Linked DNA regions of Mus musculus. The protein of the gene in region 4 interacts with the protein of the main gene of each other region in a pairwise test. Links are inferred from orthologs where the notes say so. Each region holds a gene or a part of one and is shown on either strand. Other genes may lie near its edges. The genes, in order: Map1lc3a, Gabarapl1, Stap1, Retreg3 and Abhd16a.

Region 1 (3,701 bases), on a different chromosome or scaffold from region 4:
TGACTGCCAAGGACGGCACTGAGGCCATGCTTGTGCTCAAGTAGCCCTGGCTGGCACAGCGCTGCATGGACAAGAGGGGGAAGGGCCAGAAGCTGGGCCAGGTCCCTCATCCAGAGTTGCCAGCAGGCGCGTCCTCAGGCAGAAGAAGTTCAAGTCCAGGGTCACAAATCTCTGGCACCAAAGGGGACTCATAGCTGGCAACAAGGCCCATGGGGAGAAGCTAGGAGCACCCCACTTGGACCCCCACTTTGTGACTGTGCACAGAAAGGAAGCAGCCGGTGAGCAGGGCTTTATAGGTTGTGACTACTTAATAAATGTGTGGATCTTTTTTTTTTCATTGTTGTTCTGATGACATGTATTCCTGGAGTGGAGTGAGCTTGGCCCCCTAATACTACGTGCTATCCTGTACTAAGGAGTGGGTTTCTGGGAACACGCGTCTGTCTCTGTGTGTGAACACAGTCACCTAGCAGCCCTCCCTGCTCCCAAACAAGCAGCTGGAGGCAAAGGGCCAGGCAGGCCTGAGCAGTCTTTATTCTTTCTGCAGAGGAAATGACCACAGATCCATACACCGAGTCAGGACAAGGGGAGCCAGCCTTTCAGGGGTGGGGCAGGTCCTGGCAGGAGGCAAAGCCTCAGGTGGATGAGGGGCAAGATGGGCAGACAGGCAAGGGCCTAACAAAATGACAAACCCCACAGAGCAGGGATGCTGCTCCCCACCCACTCCCAACCCAGCCAGCACCCAAAAGAGCAACCCGAACATGACTGGCCCAGGACCTACCCAGGATGTGGTAGGCTGGCTGGTGGCCCCTACCTGGGGGGGGGAGTGGGTGTCACATCTCTGCCTAATCCACTGGGGACTGAAATAGCTTAGTTTAGGAGCCAGGACCTCCCTGGGGAGAACCTGACCAGAACTCCCAGCCACCCCCCTCCCCTCCTCTTGACTCAGAAGCCGAAGGTTTCTTGGGAGGCGTAGACCATGTAGAGGAATCCGTCTTCATCCTTCTCCTGTTCATAGATGTCAGCGATGGGTGTGGAGACGCTCACCATGCTGTGCTGGTTGACCAGCAGGAAGAAGGCCTGCGTGGGGTTGAGTTGCAGGCGGCGCCTGTGGAGGCAGGCAGGCATGCCAGGTGAGGAGGCTGCCTGCTGGAGGCCTAGGTGACCCTCCCAAAATGTTACTGAACCTTCACTTTCGGTCCATCTCAGCCAGAGGCTCTCACCTCTACTGAAGCTCGTCCCAACCCCGACCTTGGTCTTTTCCAGCCTCCTAGAACAGGGGCCCGGTGTCCCAAATCAGTCCCCTCGCCCCACTCCATCCCTTCTTGTGGAACCTGACCCTGCCCCACCCAAGGCCTGTAGGAGGCTGCCCACGCACCGGATGATCTTGACCAACTCGCTCATGTTAACATGGTCTGGGACCAGAAACTTGGTCTTATCCAGGACAGGCAGCTGCTTCTCACCCTTGTAGCGCTCGATGATCACCTGGAGTGGAGTGGGCGGGGGACTCGTAAGCCAAGGGCGGGACCTGGCAGGGCAGGGCGTGGCTGGGGGGTGCTAGAGACTCACCGGGATCTTACTGGGGTGCTGGTCGCGGATCTGCTGCACCTCCTTACAGCGGTCGGCTGCGGACAGAGCTCTGTGTGAGGCCCAGCGGTGCTGAGGCCTCCCGCGACTCCGCCTCGCTGATCCCCGAGGGGCGGCTCCCGGCCCGCCCCGCCCCAGCGCCCGCCCCCGGGGCCGTCGGCCCCGCAGCCCTCCACCGGGGGGACGCGGTAGGGAGGCGGGCGACCCTGCCAGGCCTTGCGGCCTCTCCACCCGGGGTCCGGCCGGCCGGTGCCTGACGTCATGGGGCTGACGTCACCTGCGGCAATCGGGGTCGACTGGCACCCCCATCCCTCGATCCCCGATGGCAGTTCGCCCCCCAGGGCCTCACCGAAGCTGCGCCGCTGCTTGAAAGGCCGGTCGGAGGGCATCGCGCGGGCCCGGCGGGGCGCGCAGCCGGGGCTCCGGGGTGCGCGGCTCAGAGATGCGTCTGCGGTTCGGCGCGCCGGGGGCTCCGGGGCTCGAGCTCAAGGGCTGCGGGGCTCGCGCTGAGCCTGGCGGTGGCGGCTGCGGGAGGTAACTCGCCTGGGTGACGTCAGGTCACAACATTCCTTAAAGGGGAGGCCGGCGCGCCGCTCCCATTGGGCCGACGGAAAACCCGCCTGCCTGGACCTGTGACGCCACGGCGCAGACAGCCCGGATTCCCGGCGCAGGTCGTAAGGAGGCGGAGCTCCAGGGCGCGTCACAGTTCTGTGACGTCACGATGGCAAGCTCCTCTCTTTGGCGCCACAGACTCAGAAGCCAGGCATTTGTCGCCTCCATCCAGTCTCTCGACGCTGCGGAGTAGTTCACCGCACCTTCATCGAGTTTAGCATTCGAGAAGGAAGGTGGAGCGGGGAGAGGATGGAACACCCAGAGTTTTAAAATTTTTAATGTGTCTGTAAGTGTATGCCCGCGGATGCAGAACATAGCATCGGATTTCCTTAGGCTGGAGTTAATCGCACTGCTGGGAATCAAGCTTAGGTCCTCTGAAATAATAGCAAGGGCTCTTAATTGTCGAACCATTGCTCCAGACCCCCCACCCAGGCTTTCAAAGAATTCTGGAACAACCATAGAAAGCATAGATTTCCAGAGTGAGGTTGGTTAATAGGTGGTTTAGATAAAGCAGGAGAGAATCGCTGAATGGGGGGGCTATATCAGAAGTGGTTAACCATGAGATGGAGAACATTCGGAACTGACAACACGCGAAGTCAGATTTTACAGGTAGAGCCCCTTGGTAGGATAGAAAGAAGTATGGTCTGGGAATGTTACCGAGGGTCAGGGTAGGATACTTGCCTAGCAGATGGAAGGCTTAAGTTCAGTATCTCAGGTTTTGCGGGAGGTGGAGGGGATAGAGGGACTGGACGGACACGGAGAGGCGGCCCCTTGAAGAACTTTAAAAATCGATTGAAAGCCAGAATCAATGCCAGATGTAGCTGGCTCTCATTTGTAGTCCTAGCTCTATGGGAGTTTGAGGCAGGAGGATGGGCTAGAGTTGAAGTAAGGAAGAAAAAAGATAAAACAAAAGAATTTACAAAGGACCATTGTTTGAAAAAAAAAGTTAGTTTGTACTTCAGAAACATACAGCTCAAAGGGAAGAAATTTGATGGGAACCAAGTTAACAGATGCACGCTTGAGTAATTCTAAACAACTGCTTATGGACAGAAATGGTAGTGATTGGTACAAAAACAAGCTGCTAAGGTAACAAGAATTCAGCTGAGATTGCCTTAAAGAGGCTGGGTGGCGGTGCCTCCTTAACCCCAGCTCTGTGGGCAGAGACGGGATGGTCTCTTGAGTTCAAGGCCAGCCTGGTCTAGATAGTGAGACCTTGTGTTTTGGGTTTTGTTTTGCTTTTTAAATGTCTTAGGGAGCTGGATTTGTTTGGAAAGATATTATTGTCTGCTTGGTCAGGTAGGGTGCTTGCCCGCAAGCATGAGGATGTGGGTTCAATTTTCGGAATATGTTAGATCCTAGAGGCTCCACCTACAAAGGGATTCAACCAGGCCTTATATCCCATCTCTACCTTCTCCAGGCAGCTCAATGCCTGGTATGTGGCAGCCCCAAATTAGGGTGGGGCGGTAGGATTACTTCCCTAAATTATGACCTTAAGTCCTATTTAG
Region 2 (3,961 bases), on a different chromosome or scaffold from region 4:
AAGAGGCAGGTTACAAACAGAGCACAGGAAACAGGGAGCCCTGGTATTCACCACAGGAACTCTTGAGTCCTGGAACTCCAACCAAAAGGAGAGGGGACTTGTTTTCTGCATCTGTCGCAGTGGCTCATACACCATAGGGATGTTTACAAATGTTTAAAAATAGTATGTCCTACAGTTCCTGCTGTTACAGGTCTCCAACACACGGTTATCTCAAGATCCCATGATCCCTTCTCCCAAGGCCCACGCACACCTCTTAAGAGGCCAAGCTTAAGTTGTGAGTCAGACTGCCTTAGAAACTTAGCGGCTTTCCTGTAAATACCTGAACATAGGAAGATTCGGCCCTGTGACCAAGGCAGGAGAACTCCTGTTATAATCCAGTCATGGAGAAGACACCAGGCAAAGGGTTCCAATTTTAGTGTTGCCCCCACTCCCACCCCCACACAAATCTCAGCAGGGTTCTATGTCACAACCAGATGAGAGGTTGAGAACCTCTCAGATTGGGAGGTACCATCTGGGTGTGAAATCCAGGGATCCATGAGATCTAAGCGAAGGTGTCTTGGCTTACAAATCATCACTGAAGTAAAACATTCAGCATCAAGTCACAAACAGGAGAATACAGAGAAACTGCAATATTGTGGGTGAGTGCTGTACACAACTGAATGCGAGGGGGCTCTGTCTTGAGGAAGGACGGAGGTTTTAGCTGAATTTGGAAACAGTTGCAGGTCACAGCTCGGATTTCTGTTAAAGTTCTGAATAATGGGGGTAGGTGTTCACTTAAGTTTCCTGGCTGGCACCAACTACCACCTGAACTCCAGATGGCAGCAGGTGTTAACCTACTTCTAGGGCTCAACCTTACAAGGCGTTCATCTAACTGTACTACAAACTGGAAAACAAAAACAAAAACAAAACTCTGGAAGCCCAAGGGCTCTGGAAGCCCTGAAGCATGACAGCCAGGGCTGGAATTCTCCTCCACCAGTCAGCAATGTCAAACCTGTGGGTGGTGACTTCACTGCCCTGTGCTTCAGAGCATGTCTCTAGCACAGGGATTTTAATGCTGTGACGAGAGTCGGTGAGTACACAGACAAGGCATTCAGAGTGCTGCCAGCTGTGTGGTCCATGTGTAATTTTAAAATATTAAGTGGGGCTGACAAACTGAGAGAAATTTTGAAAGCAATCCTCCACAGTCCTGAGCTCAAGGAAATAACATGTGAAGGACTGTGTAGTAGGAAGGCATGACTGGAGTGTGCCCAGCCGTTCTGGAAGAGCCATGTATATGTAATTTCTGGAGAATGGTGGAATAGTTAGCTCTCTTCTTCCTCATAGAAAATGGGGCTGAGGGTAGAAAATGGGGCTGAGGGTAGAAAATGGGGCTGAGGGCTTTCTCTTGCTGGACCTCCGTTTCTTCTGGTAGCCCTGGCTGAGATAAAGAATAAGGAAGAAGTCCCTCCCCCCTATTACTTATGCATCAAAAAAAAAAATTATCAGGTTAGCACAGCTCTTTTACCCTTCAAAGTTAGAGGAACGCCAACCTAATATAACATCATTGCCTGTACAAATAAAGAGAACGATTTTTTAAAGTCCCTGGTCCTCTATCCACCATATTTAAAAGCGATGTCATCCTTTGCTTCCAATTCTGCTGCGCAGCCTTCAAAAGAGGAGGAAAAAAAAAAAGGCAAGTGGGCGGGGGAGGGGGTAAAGTGGAAAACACCCGGATGCTGAAGACTCCCTTAGTATTTTTCTCCCCACTGCATGAACTAGGTATTAGCTGCTTAAATCGGGGTATAATTAATGGAGGAAACGGTTCTCAGTACTGGTTCTTGAGATCCAAGAGCCCACCCACCTATCACAGTGCAGAGCACGGACCTTCTTTTTCCACACATGGCCCAGGAGACAATAATGAGGTGGAGGCAGGCATGACCTTGTTTGAGGGCCCGCCTGGTGAAGCCCCTCACCCCACCCCACCCCCAATTCTAAAAAAAAAAAAAAAAAAAAAACGCAGGTCAGAATCTAGGGGCTTCTCGAGTTTTTCCTCCTACGCTCAAGGAAATGGGAAGGAGACTCGTTTTCATGGAGAACCAATTGAGCAGACATGGATGGGCACAAGGCTCATCTCACCTGCTGCTACAGGGTTGGGACGCGTTTTTCTATAGCATATCCTATCTGCGGCCCCCAACCAGTCGCCCCCGCACACACAGGCCTCGCCACGCGCACATCCCAACCTCCATGGGTGCTGAATCCTGCTGACTCACCCACCACGCGCACGCTGCGCTTTCGAGATGCCAAAAGTGGCTACAGGCCCTGGGGATACAAGCTTGTCAAAGCCGGTCAAGAATACTTGATTCCGATGACCCTCCTGTGCCAGGGCCACCCGCCATCGCCAGGCTACCTCGGTAGCTCCAGGGCAACCAGCTCCCAAACTCCTCAAGCTTGCCTTCTCCCTCCCCGCCCCCACTCACCGGCACCCGGTCCGGGTATTTCTTCCTAATCTTTTCACCTTCCTTTTTCCGATACTCGAAGGGGTGGTCCTCCTTATACTGGAACTTCATGATGGACCTCAGGATGTAGGGGCTCCCCGGACGGGGCCTGCTGCGCGCGCTGATGACTGCGTCTCGCGTCTGGCCACCCCCAGTCAATGTCAGCCTTATCACAATCGCTCCACCCGCGTCAGCTCCCACGCGCCAGTCGCCGCACTACGTGGCTAAACGTCCAGAGAAGGACCTGGAGATCTCGCGGCCTGAAGGTAAAGGACCACCAGGTAAAGAAATAGGGTGGCTTTTCCCAAGAGCTGGAAACACAAAAACACCAGGGCGGTGCTGTGACATCACGACGCCCCACCCCCGCTCCGCCCCCGGCGCTAAGGACCTGCTGGATCCGGGTGGACAGAAGCTTTGTTTATTTGTGTATCTTCTTTTCACCCAAGCTTTTCCTAAACCACTCCATCGAAACGCAAAAATCATGTAGTCGGGTTTTTATTTTTGAGGATTGATATTAAAGGTAATTTGTTAATTCAAAGAATGCTCTAACAAATGTCGTCTTCCCTCCCCTTCAAGTTTCTTGTTTGATGCCCAAAACAAACACAGAGGAAGAAAATCCAGCTGTTTCCAGAGCAATGGAATCAGGAGTCTGGAGTTGGAAAAGTGCCAGGCGTCACGAGATTTGTAGCCCGGGCTGAAATGTCCTGTGCTTGCATTTTGACCTTTGCCTGGCACCCACGACTGGCCTGCCTTCTCTGCCCCAACTCCTCCTTCTGACTGGTGTCCTTATGTTTGGATCTGTGCTAGAATTGGTTCTGAGACAACATAAACAGAGCATGACTCATGGATTTGAAGAAGTGTAAGGGTGAAGAACATGAAGTCATCAAGGTTAGAAGAAGCGATGCCAGCGATGAACACCAGGCTTCACTCACGTTCAAGGAGAGATGAATCCATTCATTTTATAAGGTTCACCCAGAAGCATGGTTGTTGAGTTCTTGAAAATACAGAGGTCAAATCATTTAGGTGTCTATGTTTCCCCAACAATACTTTGCTCTGGGGTGGGTATCACCTGTAGGGTAGTTGTCCTGATGAAAAGGCCTTATTGGGCACCAAAAGCTCTGACTGGCATGCTGGTGGAAGACCCTCAATAGTATAGAGAGAGTCAGCCCAGGCCCCTCTGACATACCGGGTTTCCATCTTAAGACTCTTTGGATGCGGGGTCACCCTTCTGATTCTACTGGCAGTAACTCCAGACCTATATCTTGGGAACATCGGAGATAAAGTTCAAGGATGCTTTGTGCTGTGAAAATAAAATGACTACTAAGTGGTACCAGGCAAGCAGCCCTGTTGCCTGATTTTATGTACATGACTTAGTGATATGGTTATAAAATATGGGCAAAATAAAGTGAACTGAATTTAACTGGCAAAACAAGAACATGAAATACATAGCCCACTTCTTGGTTTTCTCCTGGTAATCTTTCTTACAT
Region 3 (4,282 bases), on a different chromosome or scaffold from region 4:
GAAATTCAGAGTCCTTCTAGAAGTGCATTAAAATCATCATATATTGTGTATTTCCCTGGCATTGGAACATTGTAACTTCTTTTTAAATGACCTGGAAAGGGCTGCAGAGATGGCTCTTCCAGAGGTCCTGAGTTCATTTGGTGACTCACAACCATCTGTAATGGGATCTGATGCCTTCTTCTGTTGTGTCTGAAGACAGCCATATGACAGTACACTGAGACAGTGTACTCATATACATAAGATAAATAAATAAATCTTTTAAAACAATGATCTTGAAAAACAAACAAACAAACAAACAAACAAACCCCCAAAACAAAAAGCCTTGTAACAAGAGCCTCTTGACCTGTAATCTCTGAGCATATTGTCCTTGAGCCACATTTTCTCCAGCTCAGTCTTCTGAATTCTTTTCAGCAGGAGCTCAGCATCCTGCCTAGCCTCCTATCCTCCTGTATCCCATCGCACAACAGATCCTTGGTGATAGCTCTCGCAGCTCACCTTGCTCTCAATGCACCCTGGAATTGGCTGCCAATTGTATAGAAACTCCACTTATTTCCCTTAGCGTTTTTCTCATTGCTTCTCTATTTAAATCTTTGAGCCCTGTGGTGTTCCTTTGAGCAATTTTACTTGTAGACCTCAACCTGACTTTAGGACACTAGCAAACATCTATGTAAACCAGAAGAAAATGACTCTGAAGTGCGAATGAAGCCTGTAGTTACGGTTTTCATCTTTCCAGCCACCCTTTATGTTGTCATTGTCACCCTCTGGTTCCTCTTTGATTGACACATGAGAGAAAGAAACTTGGAAATAAATTCAAATGGGAAAAGAAACTGGCTTTCTCATATACACGCGTTTCACCATTATTTACATTACCTCGGTCGGGCTGAACTCAGGACCTAATGCCTCTTCGAGAATGTGTTACCTTTAGCTATATATCCCTAATCCTCATAATTCATCCTATTTTAAAACATGCTTTCTAAGCAAAACCAGAAGAGGAGTTAGATAAAAAGAGCAAAGTCATAACTCCCACCGAGCTAAGCCTCTTTTAACGTTTGTTGAGTGCAACGTGTAAGATCAATGTTGCTTGAAACACAACTTGATTCAGCACTGCATTTGCTTATCCCAGACATAATGAAGAGTACAACATAAATAATAATATATTACATCACAGCAAGTAGTATCCTTTGGCTACTTTTTTTTTTTAACAGTTGAATAAACTGAGTTCAGGGGGTGGAAGAATTTTCCTAAGGTCATGAGTTGTATGTAGAAGAACTATCAAGTGAAGACATGGTTTACTGGTATTCTAAAATTGTGGATTTTTTTTTTTTCCTGCTAAGCGTGCCACCACATGGGATTTTTTTTTCTCCTGCTAAGCGTGCCACCACATGGCTTCTTTAAACAGCTGAAGGATCTTGGTAATAGACCCAGTTACTATAAACACTTTGGGAAGAGAATCAGAGAAAGACCAAATCTAAATTACCACCTAGAAATTTACTTCTAGGTGTTGCACACTTCTGGTGAAGTAAAAACCTTGTAGACCTGTGAAGACTCAATAACAGCAGCAGCAACAACAACAACATTTGAATATAGTTTGCCAATTTACTATTTTAAATTTGCAAATTTAACAGCCACGGCAAGAGTCACAATCTGACTTTCAAATGGCAAATGAGCTTACAAGTAGAGTATTTTCACATTTAGAACTTTTCCATGACTGTTATCGACTCCTCTGAACCTTGCCTTATCATTTTCATTGAACACCCACTGCTACTTCTGAAAACATTTAAAACCTTGCTAACTTCAGTCAATATGAAAATGCCATACCTACACTAGTGGCTTCTTTACTTCTTTAGTAACATAATTTCATAATTTCGTACTTCCTTAATCAATTTTATGTTGTCCACAATTACAACTTTAAAGGCAAATACACTTTTATAACTGTAGTTTAAGATTTTACATAAAAAGTATGTGAAATACTTCATGAGTTTTCTTAGAGCAAATGTACTTTTGAAAAAAAAAAACCCTAATGTGTTCACTAGTTACAATAACACCTTAAATATTCTTTTAAAATAAGCATTGTGAACAGTATTTTCAGATTGTGTAATGAAACAATATTAAGTCAATATCAAATTTTCACAATCTTATGGAAGTTTATCATTTCTTACAACGTGGTCATTATAAGGCTCATTGTAACCAGAGTAGAAGTAGGTTGTTATCTCTCATTAAATCCCCTCAACATCATGCGGTTCCTCACCACCGAAGCATAGCAGTCAGCTATGCTTATAAAACATATAAAACTCTCATCTTTAAAGCCAAAATCTTCTGGGATGCTTAAAAGACTCTTTTGGAAATTTCACTGCATTTTTAGATTATGGCTAAATATTAGAAACCTTACAATACATATGTGTGTGTGTGTGTGTGTGTGTGTGTGTGTGTAAAGCTGTGCATTAATTCAAAGTGAGAATCATTCTTCTAACTCAAGGAAGACAGTATAACCCAAACAGAAACGAGGAGGCTTCATCGCATCGTGTTGCCATGACATAAGTTTTATGATAAGTGCCAATGTTCAGGGTTACAATTATTGTCTACACACTTACCTGGTGATCAGACCGTTTGACCAGTAAAAATCCTTCAAAGTACAGGGGCAGAGCAGTGATCTTCAGTCTTTCCTGGAAGATCCTGCGAGGGGCAGGTTTCGGGGGCTTTTTCGCCATCATAGCCTTTGCTTTGGAGTTTGGCTTGCTTTCAGTTCTATCCAGCCTCAAAAAAACCGAAATCTCCGTAGTGTTGAGAGGAGAGGCAACTGTTCAAAGAGGAAGTCTCAACTCGCTTTTTAACCACCAACCCTTCCACCAACAGCACACACACACACACACACACACACACACACACACACACACACACACTTTCCCTCCTTCAGTTATTGTGAAGTAAAAAAGATCAGGCACAGACCAACTTTTAAAAGGCGTCTGCTGTGTAAACTTCATGTGCTTAGGTTGATGGTAACAAAATAAACAGCAGATTACCATCTCCTAATGATGAAAGGAGCAGGTGCGAGACTTTTGGAGCAACACCAACGACACACTTAGCTTTTCCAGCTTTCATTTTTGTTGATTGTTCTCTGCCTTTATTTCGAAGATATGTGACTTAAATAAACTGTATCCATTAAAAAAATTCTTCATTGAATATTTTTGTATTGATCCTATTGGCTATATATCCAATAGTGTTTTTTTTTTTTTTTTATTGAAAATATGGTCTCATTTTTGTAGCCGTGGATAGCCTGAAATTCTACTGTGTAGACCAGGCTGGTCTCAGACTCACAGAGGTCTACTTGCTTCTGCCTCCAAAGTGTTGGGCTTAAAGATTTATGTCATCATACCTAGCTGTTGCCAGAGAGCTTTAGAAGAGAAAGATGACTTACAGAAAAATACAGAAAAGAATATTTTTGATGTTTTGACATTTACTTTGTGTGTGTGTGTGTGTAGGGCTGTGCATGTGTGTGTGTGTGTTTGTGTGTGCTAATATTCAGGTAGGTTCAAGTGTGCACATGTTACAGTGCACATGTGGAACTTAGAGGACAATTTGTAGCAATCGGTTCTCTTCTAATATGTGGGGGCTCAAGCAACGAATTTGGTAGTATGTCCCTTAGTGTCCTGAGCCCAGAGAGAAATATTTATGTTAATTAAACATCTGCTTAATTTTGTCTTTTTACCATTTTAAAAAGTAAGCAATAAATAAATAAGTAAATGCACAAATAAATAAATTAATTAAATTAAATCTAGTTCATCAAACCAGGTAGACTCTTTTGGACTGTTGATTTGTAAATAACATTAATCCTCAATGTACCAAGAATCAAATATTTCTTCTTCAGTCATCTCCCCCAAACCTTATAGATTTCAAAATTTCATTCTTGGTCAGTCTGATCGATCCTCACAGATTCTGCGGTTCTTCCTTTCATTTTTTATTGAACACTATTTATTGCACTGGCAAGAAACCAAGCCCCTTCCCCAGCAAGTACCTTCTGCTCTAGGCCTTACACTTGCTCCTCGACGTCTCAAAGCCCTTGGCCCTCCTTCTGACAGCTCCTCCTGTGTGCTCCCACACCCTTCTTTTTGTTATCTACTTGGTGAATTCTTACTTCTCCTTCAAGAGCCTGGTGAAATCTGTTATTGGGAAGAATTACTTTATTGACTTATTATACTGATTAAGCCAGAAAGTAGGAATAGAAATGTCCTCATCCGGTACTTCCAAATTTCTGGCCCTTACTATTTACTGATTTATCTTCACA
Region 4 (3,991 bases):
AGTTGAGAGCCCTTCAGGGGAACAGCAAATGACCTGGGAGAATCCGCTGGCCCAGTTGTTGCCAGCTCCTCCGCCATGCTCCGACAGGTAGATGTTCTCTGGGTTGTAGAGCTTAGCATAGGAGGAGTTTAGGATGGAATGGATCACCCGGGGCTCCAGGTCCAGCAGCACAGCCCGGGGGATGTAGTGCTCATCATCTGCCTGTCAGAGGGAAGCCAGGATGGGTCAAGTCCTGAAGCCTCCCAACTCTGGCTCCTGCAGGCTCTCCCTCAAGATAGCCACTCTGTTCCCATCCATCCACTCAGAGTTTCCCAGCACCAGATCGCGCTGCCAGTCCCGCCAGGGTCCTGGTCAAGTCACTTGGGGGAGCACCTGGTAGAAAAAGACGTCCTTTCGGTCAGTGCCCTCCGTGGCGAACTCTTCTACGATGCCCTCGGGACTGATGCCATGCTCGGCACATAGCTGTTTCCAGAACTCGAACCCAACTAAGAGAGGGAGGCGGAAGGTGAAGAAAAAAGATACGTGAGTCTGGGTAGGTTCCAAATAGCCAGTGGGGGATTTGAACGCCTGGGTCTAGGGATCTAGATTAGCCTTGGGACTCCCTAGTGTCTAGGCCAATGACTGGACAGGGGAAGGTCCATTGGCTTTAGGCAGTTGGGCACAGGGTTGGGAATCGCCTTTGTGGGGGAGAACTAGGATTCTGCAGACAGACCGAAGCTATGACCTTATTGCGAGGGCCTCTTGCACCTAAGGAACCTGGGAGGCAGAGGGTCTGGGAGGTTCGCTCACTCTGATTGCCGCACTGGCCCAACTGTAGGGTGATGATTTCTCTCGGCATCGCTCCTCAGACATCGGCGTTGCAGTCTCTCCCGCCAGCAACACCGCCGACCGCTAGCGCGCTCGCCGGCAAGACGCAGGCGCCAGACAATGCGCTCCACCCCTAATCGTTCTCCGCTCCAATGGGAGCTGGGTTCTGCAGATGAAATTTCCTCCTTCATCGGGCTTCAGTCGTGCGAGTTGCGCGTGCGCGGCTCCGAATCGCGCTCAGCGCCGGGAACGCATTTCGACGCAGTGTTCTCTTCCGTCTGATGAATGCGCACCGGAGCGTCTGCGCATGCGCGCGTGGGCGTTCCGGCACTTGCCCCGCCCCGCCCCTTCTCCGCCCGGCCGCAGCCAAATCGTGCTTCTGCGCAGTCGGTGTTATTGTGACTCCCGGGCCGTGGCCCCGGATGTTGTGGCTGCTGAAGGGGAGATGGAGGAGGCTGAAGGGGTGGCCGCGGCCCCGGGTCCAGCTTCGGGGTTGGCTTTCAGGGGCCGCCGAGCTATGTCCGGCTCCTGGGAGCGCGACCAGCAGGTTGAGGCGGCGCAGCGGACCCTGGTGGAGGTGCTGGGCCCTTACGAGCCTCTGCTGAGCCGGGTGCAGGCAGCCCTGGTGTGGGAGCGGCCGGCCAGGAGCGCCCTGTGGTGCCTGGGGCTGAACGCGGCGTTCTGGTGAGACACCCGGACCCTCACTGACCCTACTAGGCGGGAATTCCTCAGGTTGTTCTGGGGGGGGGGGTGTCGATCTCTCACCTGCCCTGTCCTGCCTTCTTTCGTCGCCCTGGCTGCTTCTGATACTTGCCTGATAATGCTTCACTTTCCCCAGCATCCCGCCTGCCTCCAGGCTTTGGCACCCCGGGTGCTCGCAGGGCCTTCCTGGTCTTCTCCACTTGCCCCCACGACTCGCCAGAGAATCTGGTACCATCCCGTGTCGCTCGCAGTAAGCCGGGGTGCCTCTTGTTAGCGAGAGAAAGTGATTTCACTTCGAGACCATTTCCTCCGTTTCTCTTGCTTGCCCCAGGGTGGTGGTTCCGAGAGGTTTTAACTTAACGATGATGGGAGGAGAGGCAGAAGGGTATCCCTGGGTGTGAGGAGGAAAACAAGCTTGAGCCGGTTATCATGGATTATTAGCATGTTAGATACCGTCTCACCCAGTCAAGTTGGTGAAGTTTGTGTGGAGTTTCAGCTTGAAAGAAAAGTAGATGTATTAAGAAGGAAAAAATTAAAAAACAGTGGTGATCTTTCATCTGTTTCAGAGCCACTTAGGATTGCAACGCTTCCCCCCAAAAATTAGACCTTAGCTGTGGTTCAAGGAGTTTGAGGCTGTCTGAGAGCCGTTGAGTTCTCTTTCACTGGACAAGTGGCTTTATATTAAAGTGTGTGTTTCATTCTCTGGAAAAAATGAGAGCACCTAGGAGGAGTTTGGGCTTCATCGAGTCTACCAACCATGGTTTGGGTTTATTAATAACCATAGTACTGATCAAATTCCAAGGGAACTGACATATCACTGAGGCTTCTACAACCAGAAGAGATGAGACTCTTTGAATAAGCCTGTGTGTGTGTATGTGTATAGGGGTGTGGTCCTGAGATGGGGTGGTCGTGAGGAGTTGTGGGTACTTGTAGAGGCTAGAAGCATCAGATCCCCCTGGAGCTGGAGATAGGTGGGGGTTGCTGGGAACTGAACTTCTCTGGGAGAGCAGTATGTGCTCTTAGCCACCGAACCATCTCTCTAGCTCTGGAACACATTTCAAAGCTGCAACAGATTTGCTGGTCCTCAACAGTGTATTCTTTTTTGGCTCCAAATATCCTCTCCACAGAGCAGGCCTTGAACTTCTGACCTTCCTGCTCCCAGCTCCCGAGGATTGGGGCTATTGACACTGGCCACCATGCTGTACCATAGTGTTTACTTAGGCTAAGTCTGCGTTTAGAATCTTTCTCAGAACCCCTCTTGTGCTAAGTTGTGACTGATCCCTATCTCTGGCATTTCCGGGTAGTATGCCTGCTGTGTAGCCACAATGCAGGAGGTGGGGGAGAGATCCACCAAAGTGAGTGTGGCCTAAGACTTAAAAAACAATTGAGCTTGTCATTTATAGAGGGGACTCATACCTTGGGAGGGGTACAGATAGTATTAAAGTCCAAGCGGGTTAAAGTAGTCAGACATTGGCACTTATAGAATTGTTTTGGGAGAATGAATTTCTTTGAGGGCTAAACACAGTTCACTCCTCAGTAGTGTCTTTGTGAGTGTTGTCATTTCACTTAGTAGAGTAAAGAATGACTAGATTTTCAACGAATTGAAGAAGTATCACTAAGTTAGGTCAGAAACAACAAATCTGAAGTACTTCTTATATTATTTATTAGGAATAATGACGTTATCAAAAGCTGAGGTGCTTTTGATGAGTCAGAAGATTAGCTTGATACTACAAAGTTGTCACCTGAGTGCTGGAGTCCACCTTAGCGTAGTAGAGCCTACCTCCAAACCTGATGCCCTGATCCAGCTTCTGTAAGCTGTCACCTGACTTACACACACACACACACTCCCCCCCCCTCTGTCTCTCTCTCTCTCTCTCTCTCTCTCTCTCTCTGAAAGAATTTTTTTTTTCCCAAGTCCTCCAAATTCAGGGCACATAGTGTGTTTAGTGATGTACATTCCTTCTCTGGTGTAGTTTTCCCTGTACCTGTGACTATGCCCTCTTACTTTCTAAACACAGGAGGTTCATAAAAGAATTCCATGTGGTAGGGTGCCACCATGTATTTCCAGGGTGTCCCCTCCCAGGTACCAGAGAAATCAGGGTGACCCTGTCCAAAATCTTGTAACCCACATCGCTTCTAGCCCCTGCTCTGTTGCTGTCTTTAGAATAATAATGGCTTCCCTCTAAAAGCCGACTTTTTCATTAATCTCACCCCATCTGCAGATGAGTGACCCACAGGGAGACCATGAAAGTCGGCAGGAGGGCATCATGGCAGGACCAGAAAAGGACAGGTTCCAGGAACTTCGATTGGACTGATAGGAGATGGGGGAGCACGAGGGTAAAGCCCCGCTGGCCCTAACTTGATGAACAGCACAGAGCTCACAGGGGGCTATAGACTGGAGCTCCTTGTCCCTGTGATTCCAGGTGGCCTTTGGGGACATGAGCGTAACTCGCAGCTGATGCCCTGTTACCTCTTGGGAACT
Region 5 (4,186 bases), on a different chromosome or scaffold from region 4:
ACTTACACACTTATTCACTGATTGAGACAGAGTCCCACTATGTGGCCCAGGTTGGCCTGGAACGTGAGACTTTCTACCTCCCTCTTACCCAAGCGCTGGGATAGAGGACACATTGCTCGAATGTCTTCCACTAACAGTGCACCTCTGATCTGTACTCCGGTGCAGGGCCCACAGTGTGGTTACACTGTGTGAGGTCTCTGTGCATGTTAAAGTCTGCTGCTGTCTCCAGCTGAGACTCAGGCGGTGTGTGCTGTATTCTTCTTGTTCCTGTACACTGCTGATGAACACATGCAATGTAGGATGTAAGACACTTGAGGAAGAGCTACACCTTGGACTGTCCTCAGTTACTCCCTACAGGGCCCAGCCCCAAACTACGTCTGCAAAAAGTGCTTAACGCTTATCCAGTCACAGATACAAACCAGGCTCCTCTCTACCTACCTCGGAGGCAGGCCACCCCTGCAAGTAGCAGCAGCAATGTCCCGGCATAGTGAGAAAATGGCACCACTTTGGACAAACTCAAGTAACCTGGGAGGGAAGAGGGACAGTTATGAGACGCTCTCACAGGACCTCTGAGTGGTTCTCCCAGCTTGCCCACAACCTCTACCCACACTCTGTCTTTGGGTTAGCCATTCTATCAGACCAGCAATTCTCAACCTGTGCATTGGGAACCCTTTGGCAAACCTGTATCTCCAAAAAATATTTATATCATGAACCATAACAGTAGCAAAATCACAGTTATCCAGTAGCAACGACATGATGTTATGGTTTTGCGGGGGGGGGGGGGGTGTCACCACGACATGTGGAACTGTGTTAAAGGGTCGCAGCACTGGGAAGGTTGAGAACCACCAGCTTATAGGGCAAGACTCCTGGTAGAAGAGGGAAGTCAAATATGCCGTTCTCACAGGATCACCCCCTTTCTCTTCGGGGAGTAGATTCACTGGCCAATGACCTGCCCGGTTTGTCCCCACCCACACACGCCCCACCACCACCTTTGGAACCACACTGACCTTTCCTGTATAAGTAGAAGAAGGCGAAGGGAGAGGAGTAATAAGAGATGGACCAGAAGACTGAAGCCTGCAGCAGAGACACAGACAGGCGATCAATACGCCTGTGCACACACACGCTGTTCTGCCCTCTCCGGGCCTGGCTCTGACACCGTGCACACAGTAGGGACCCAAATATTTGTTGCCTCATAGTGTGTCAGAGTACAGTAACGGAGACTGACACAGATTCATGGCGTTGAAAACACCAGCCTCTCTGTCTACTCAAGTTAATCAAGCCTTCCCAGTTGGCCCCACTCAAGAGAGTCCCAGGTTTTGTCCCCAAGAGATGTGAGAACATCACCATAGGAACTCTGCCAGGGAGAACAGCTGTCTCTGCAGCCACAGAAGTTAGTTGCCAGGGAGGATAGGTCACTAGGGACTGCAAGACTCAGAGACCTGCAGCCGATCCCAAAGGTAAATTTGTTATCCTTAGGGCTCAAACTGCTCTGGAAAAAGCTTATGGTACACAAAGGGGACTTCCTAAGGGAGAATGCCAACGGTAGGCACTTGGGATACGCTGGTCCTCTGTGCAAGCTCTGCTGTACAGGGCCCAGAGCACCCCTCACCTCCTGGGGTGTTGCCTTCTCCAGGGCTGGGTTTGACTGGCAGATGCTGGGACTGACTTACCAGTGCCAGGATGCTGTCTGCATGTTTCTCCAGGGCCCGAGGCTGATAATACGTATCCTGCCAAAACAGATGGCCTGTTAAGGACCTTGCCAGCTGACAGGCCCTTCCTCCCTTCCAGAAGCCCTAACCTGTGTCACCTGGTTCTAGCCTCTGTGGCCATTTCTCCTGGGATACTCCTGTTTCTGCTGAAGCTTCAACTCCCCCCCCCTGACATTTCACCCCTCACCCTGAAAGCAATCACGGGGTGCTAGGCTTGGAAGCAAAAGTGAAAGCAGCATTTGGAAAACCGGTCCTTTTTTTCCCCTGAAACTCCATACAGATATGATTGTGTCACTATGGGGAGAGGAGTAAAATTGAAAATGAGAGACTCCATGACAATTCTAAGAGGGAAGGAATAGCATTTGATGTAAGTCGATTCCGGGAAAAATGTCGCTAAGTGTGGGCACTTCGGAAAGCCTCCTAAACATAATTTGCAACCAATAAAAACAAAAACATTTTGGAGAGCAAACTACCACCCTGAATGCAAGACCCTGGTTTTCAGGCTAGGTTTGGGGGCACAAGGCGCACAAGTAAATACATGACATGAAGTCATTTTTGAAACTGAAAAGTCAGGTTAAAGAGAAAGTCAACAGATCCTGGGAGAAATTGGGAGTAGGTGGGCAAAAGCCAGTGCGCGCAGGGGACTCCAAACTCAACTGGGACCAGCCATTCGGGGGACGCGGAGGGGGAAAAAAAAAAGCAAGCGTGGTGGTGGGTGTGAGGAAGAGTTCCTCCAAAGCCGTAAAGAGAGGCGGCGGCTGGGCCCTGCGTGACTGGGAGGGGGCCGGGAAGCGCCCGCAGGCGGACTGCGTGCGCGACCGCCACTTGACAAGCGGGCTCCCCCGTTTCCCACAGTGGGCGCGCCGGGCGAGCGCAGCGCAGCGCGGTCTGGACCATACCATGCTCTCCGCCGGGGGGAACCCGACTCACCCAGGAGCTGGACGAGGCGGCGGGGACGGCAGTGGGAGTCTCGGGGACGCTGGACGCGGCCCGGTCCGTGTCCCTCTCCCGGTAGATCTTGTAGAGCCGGGGGCCGAGGACGCAGCTCAGGAGCTTCGCCATAGCCCCGGCTCGGGCCGCTGTCCCTCGGCCTCAGGTCCCCGCCGGCCCCGCCCGTAGTCTCCTGGGCGCTGCGTGCGTGCCTGTGTGCGTGCGTGACGTCAGCACGTATCCGCTCGCCCCGTGGCAGGGTCCAGCCTGACGTTCTCGCCACGAGAGGAGTGTTCAGCGCAGTGGGCGACGGTCTACAGTTAGTTAGAGCTGTTCTGAATAGAGAAACTTAAGAAAATGAATGCCCCAGGTGGTTACTTTTTTTTTTTTAAAGATTTCTTTATTTATTATGTGAGTACACTGTTACTGTCTAGAGACACACCAGAAGAGGGCATCAGATCTCATTACAGATGGTTGTGAACCACCATGTGGTTGCTGGGATTTGAACTCATGATCTTCGGAAGCGCAGTCAATGCTCTTAACCGCTGAGCATTTCTCCAGCCCCCACATTTTTTTTTTGGTTTTTCGAGACAGGGTTTCTCTGTGTAGCCCTGGCTGTCCTGGAACTCACTCTGTAGACCAGGCTGGCCTCGAACTCAGAAATCTACCTGCCTCTGCCTCCCCAGTGCTGGGATTAAAGGCGTGCACTACCACGCCTGGCTTCACTTTTTTTTTTTTTTTAAACCCTATCCCTTAATGTCAGCATGTTCTGGAACGATCACTGGGTGAGAGTAGGAGCATTTGACAAGAACTTCAAGAAAAGAGGCTAGTGTCTGGATTTGTAGCTCAAGTATAGAAAACTTTGCTTAACATGCTGAAAGCCCTGGGTTACACACACACACACACACACACACACACACACAGATCTAGGGATGTATCCATTAGAAGAAATAGCAGGATTCTTCTGAAGAATTCTATTTAAATTTTTTTTTATTTTATGTATATGAATACACTGTAGCTGTTTTCAGACACACCAGAAGAGGGCGTCTGATCTCATTACAGATGGTTGTGAGCCACCATGTGGTTGCTGCTGGGACTTGAACTTAGGATCTCTGGAAGAGCAGTCAGTGCTCTTAACCACTGAGCCATCTCTCTAACCCAAGAATCTTTTTTTTTTTTTTTTAAGTTTTTGAAAGAAGTAATCTGCCCGATGTAGTGCCACATGCTTTTAATCCCAGCACTTGAGAGACAGAGAGAGATGGGTGTGTTGACAGATTGGCCTCTTGAGTTCCAGGCCACCCTAGTCTACGTATGTAGTGAGTTCCAGGCCACTCAGGGCTATATAGAGAAACCTTGTTCAAAGTGCTAGGATTGGTGGTAAAGGGCTCTGGCTGCTTTTCGAGATGTCCTACATACAATTCTCAGCAACCACATGGTGGCTTACGATCTGATCCCCTCTTCTGGCATGCAGATATACAAGCAGATGGAGTACTTATATATGTAGAAATAAATCTTAAAGTGCTAGGAGTAAAGGCATGCATCACTAC

The links.
Region 1: the proteins of Retreg3 (region 4) and Map1lc3a interact in binary tests that used the Homo sapiens proteins (3 or more experiments, as listed by UniProt). The link is inferred for Mus musculus from reciprocal best matches to the Homo sapiens genes RETREG3 and MAP1LC3A.
Region 2: the proteins of Retreg3 (region 4) and Gabarapl1 interact in binary tests that used the Homo sapiens proteins (3 or more experiments, as listed by UniProt). The link is inferred for Mus musculus from reciprocal best matches to the Homo sapiens genes RETREG3 and GABARAPL1.
Region 3: the proteins of Retreg3 (region 4) and Stap1 interact in binary tests that used the Homo sapiens proteins (3 or more experiments, as listed by UniProt). The two-hybrid records come from large-scale screens. The link is inferred for Mus musculus from reciprocal best matches to the Homo sapiens genes RETREG3 and STAP1.
Region 5: the proteins of Retreg3 (region 4) and Abhd16a interact in binary tests that used the Homo sapiens proteins (3 or more experiments, as listed by UniProt). The link is inferred for Mus musculus from reciprocal best matches to the Homo sapiens genes RETREG3 and ABHD16A.

Annotation. Positions count from the first base shown.
Region 1 is NC_000068.7:155,274,879-155,278,579, reverse strand, and holds Map1lc3a (microtubule-associated proteins 1A/1B light chain 3A), read right to left. Parts: upstream 2,217-3,701; 5' UTR 1,974-2,216; coding exon 1,934-1,973; intron 1,623-1,933; coding exon 1,567-1,622; intron 1,483-1,566; coding exon 1,376-1,482; intron 1,106-1,375; coding exon 943-1,105; 3' UTR 507-942; downstream 1-506. Other genes in the region: Pigu (phosphatidylinositol glycan anchor biosynthesis class U protein precursor), read left to right, coding at 1-44. UniProt on the Homo sapiens protein: Ubiquitin-like modifier involved in formation of autophagosomal vacuoles (autophagosomes). While LC3s are involved in elongation of the phagophore membrane, the GABARAP/GATE-16 subfamily is essential for a later stage in autophagosome maturation.
Region 2 is NC_000072.6:129,532,032-129,535,992, reverse strand, and holds the start of Gabarapl1 (gamma-aminobutyric acid receptor-associated protein-like 1), read right to left. Parts: upstream 2,802-3,961; 5' UTR 2,547-2,801; coding exon 2,457-2,546; intron 1-2,456. UniProt on the Homo sapiens protein: Ubiquitin-like modifier that increases cell-surface expression of kappa-type opioid receptor through facilitating anterograde intracellular trafficking of the receptor. Involved in formation of autophagosomal vacuoles.
Region 3 is NC_000071.6:86,070,267-86,074,548, reverse strand, and holds the start of Stap1 (signal-transducing adaptor protein 1), read right to left. Parts: upstream 2,804-4,282; 5' UTR 2,712-2,803; coding exon 2,592-2,711; intron 1-2,591. UniProt on the Homo sapiens protein: In BCR signaling, appears to function as a docking protein acting downstream of TEC and participates in a positive feedback loop by increasing the activity of TEC.
Region 4 is NC_000077.6:101,117,041-101,121,031, reverse strand, and holds the start of Retreg3 (reticulophagy regulator 3), read left to right. Parts: upstream 1-1,190; 5' UTR 1,191-1,252; coding exon 1,253-1,491; intron 1,492-3,731; exon of another isoform or gene 3,732-3,846; intron 3,847-3,991. Other genes in the region: Tubg1 (tubulin gamma-1 chain), read right to left, coding at 34-201, 373-485, 790-838. UniProt on the Homo sapiens protein: Endoplasmic reticulum (ER)-anchored autophagy regulator which exists in an inactive state under basal conditions but is activated following cellular stress.
Region 5 is NC_000083.6:35,087,910-35,092,095, reverse strand, and holds the start of Abhd16a (phosphatidylserine lipase ABHD16A), read right to left. Parts: upstream 2,806-4,186; 5' UTR 2,772-2,805; coding exon 2,640-2,771; intron 1,728-2,639; coding exon 1,671-1,727; intron 1,075-1,670; coding exon 1,008-1,074; intron 526-1,007; coding exon 439-525; intron 278-438; exon of another isoform or gene 114-277; coding exon of another isoform or gene 89-113; intron 1-88. UniProt on the Homo sapiens protein: Phosphatidylserine (PS) lipase that mediates the hydrolysis of phosphatidylserine to generate lysophosphatidylserine (LPS). LPS constitutes a class of signaling lipids that regulates immunological and neurological processes.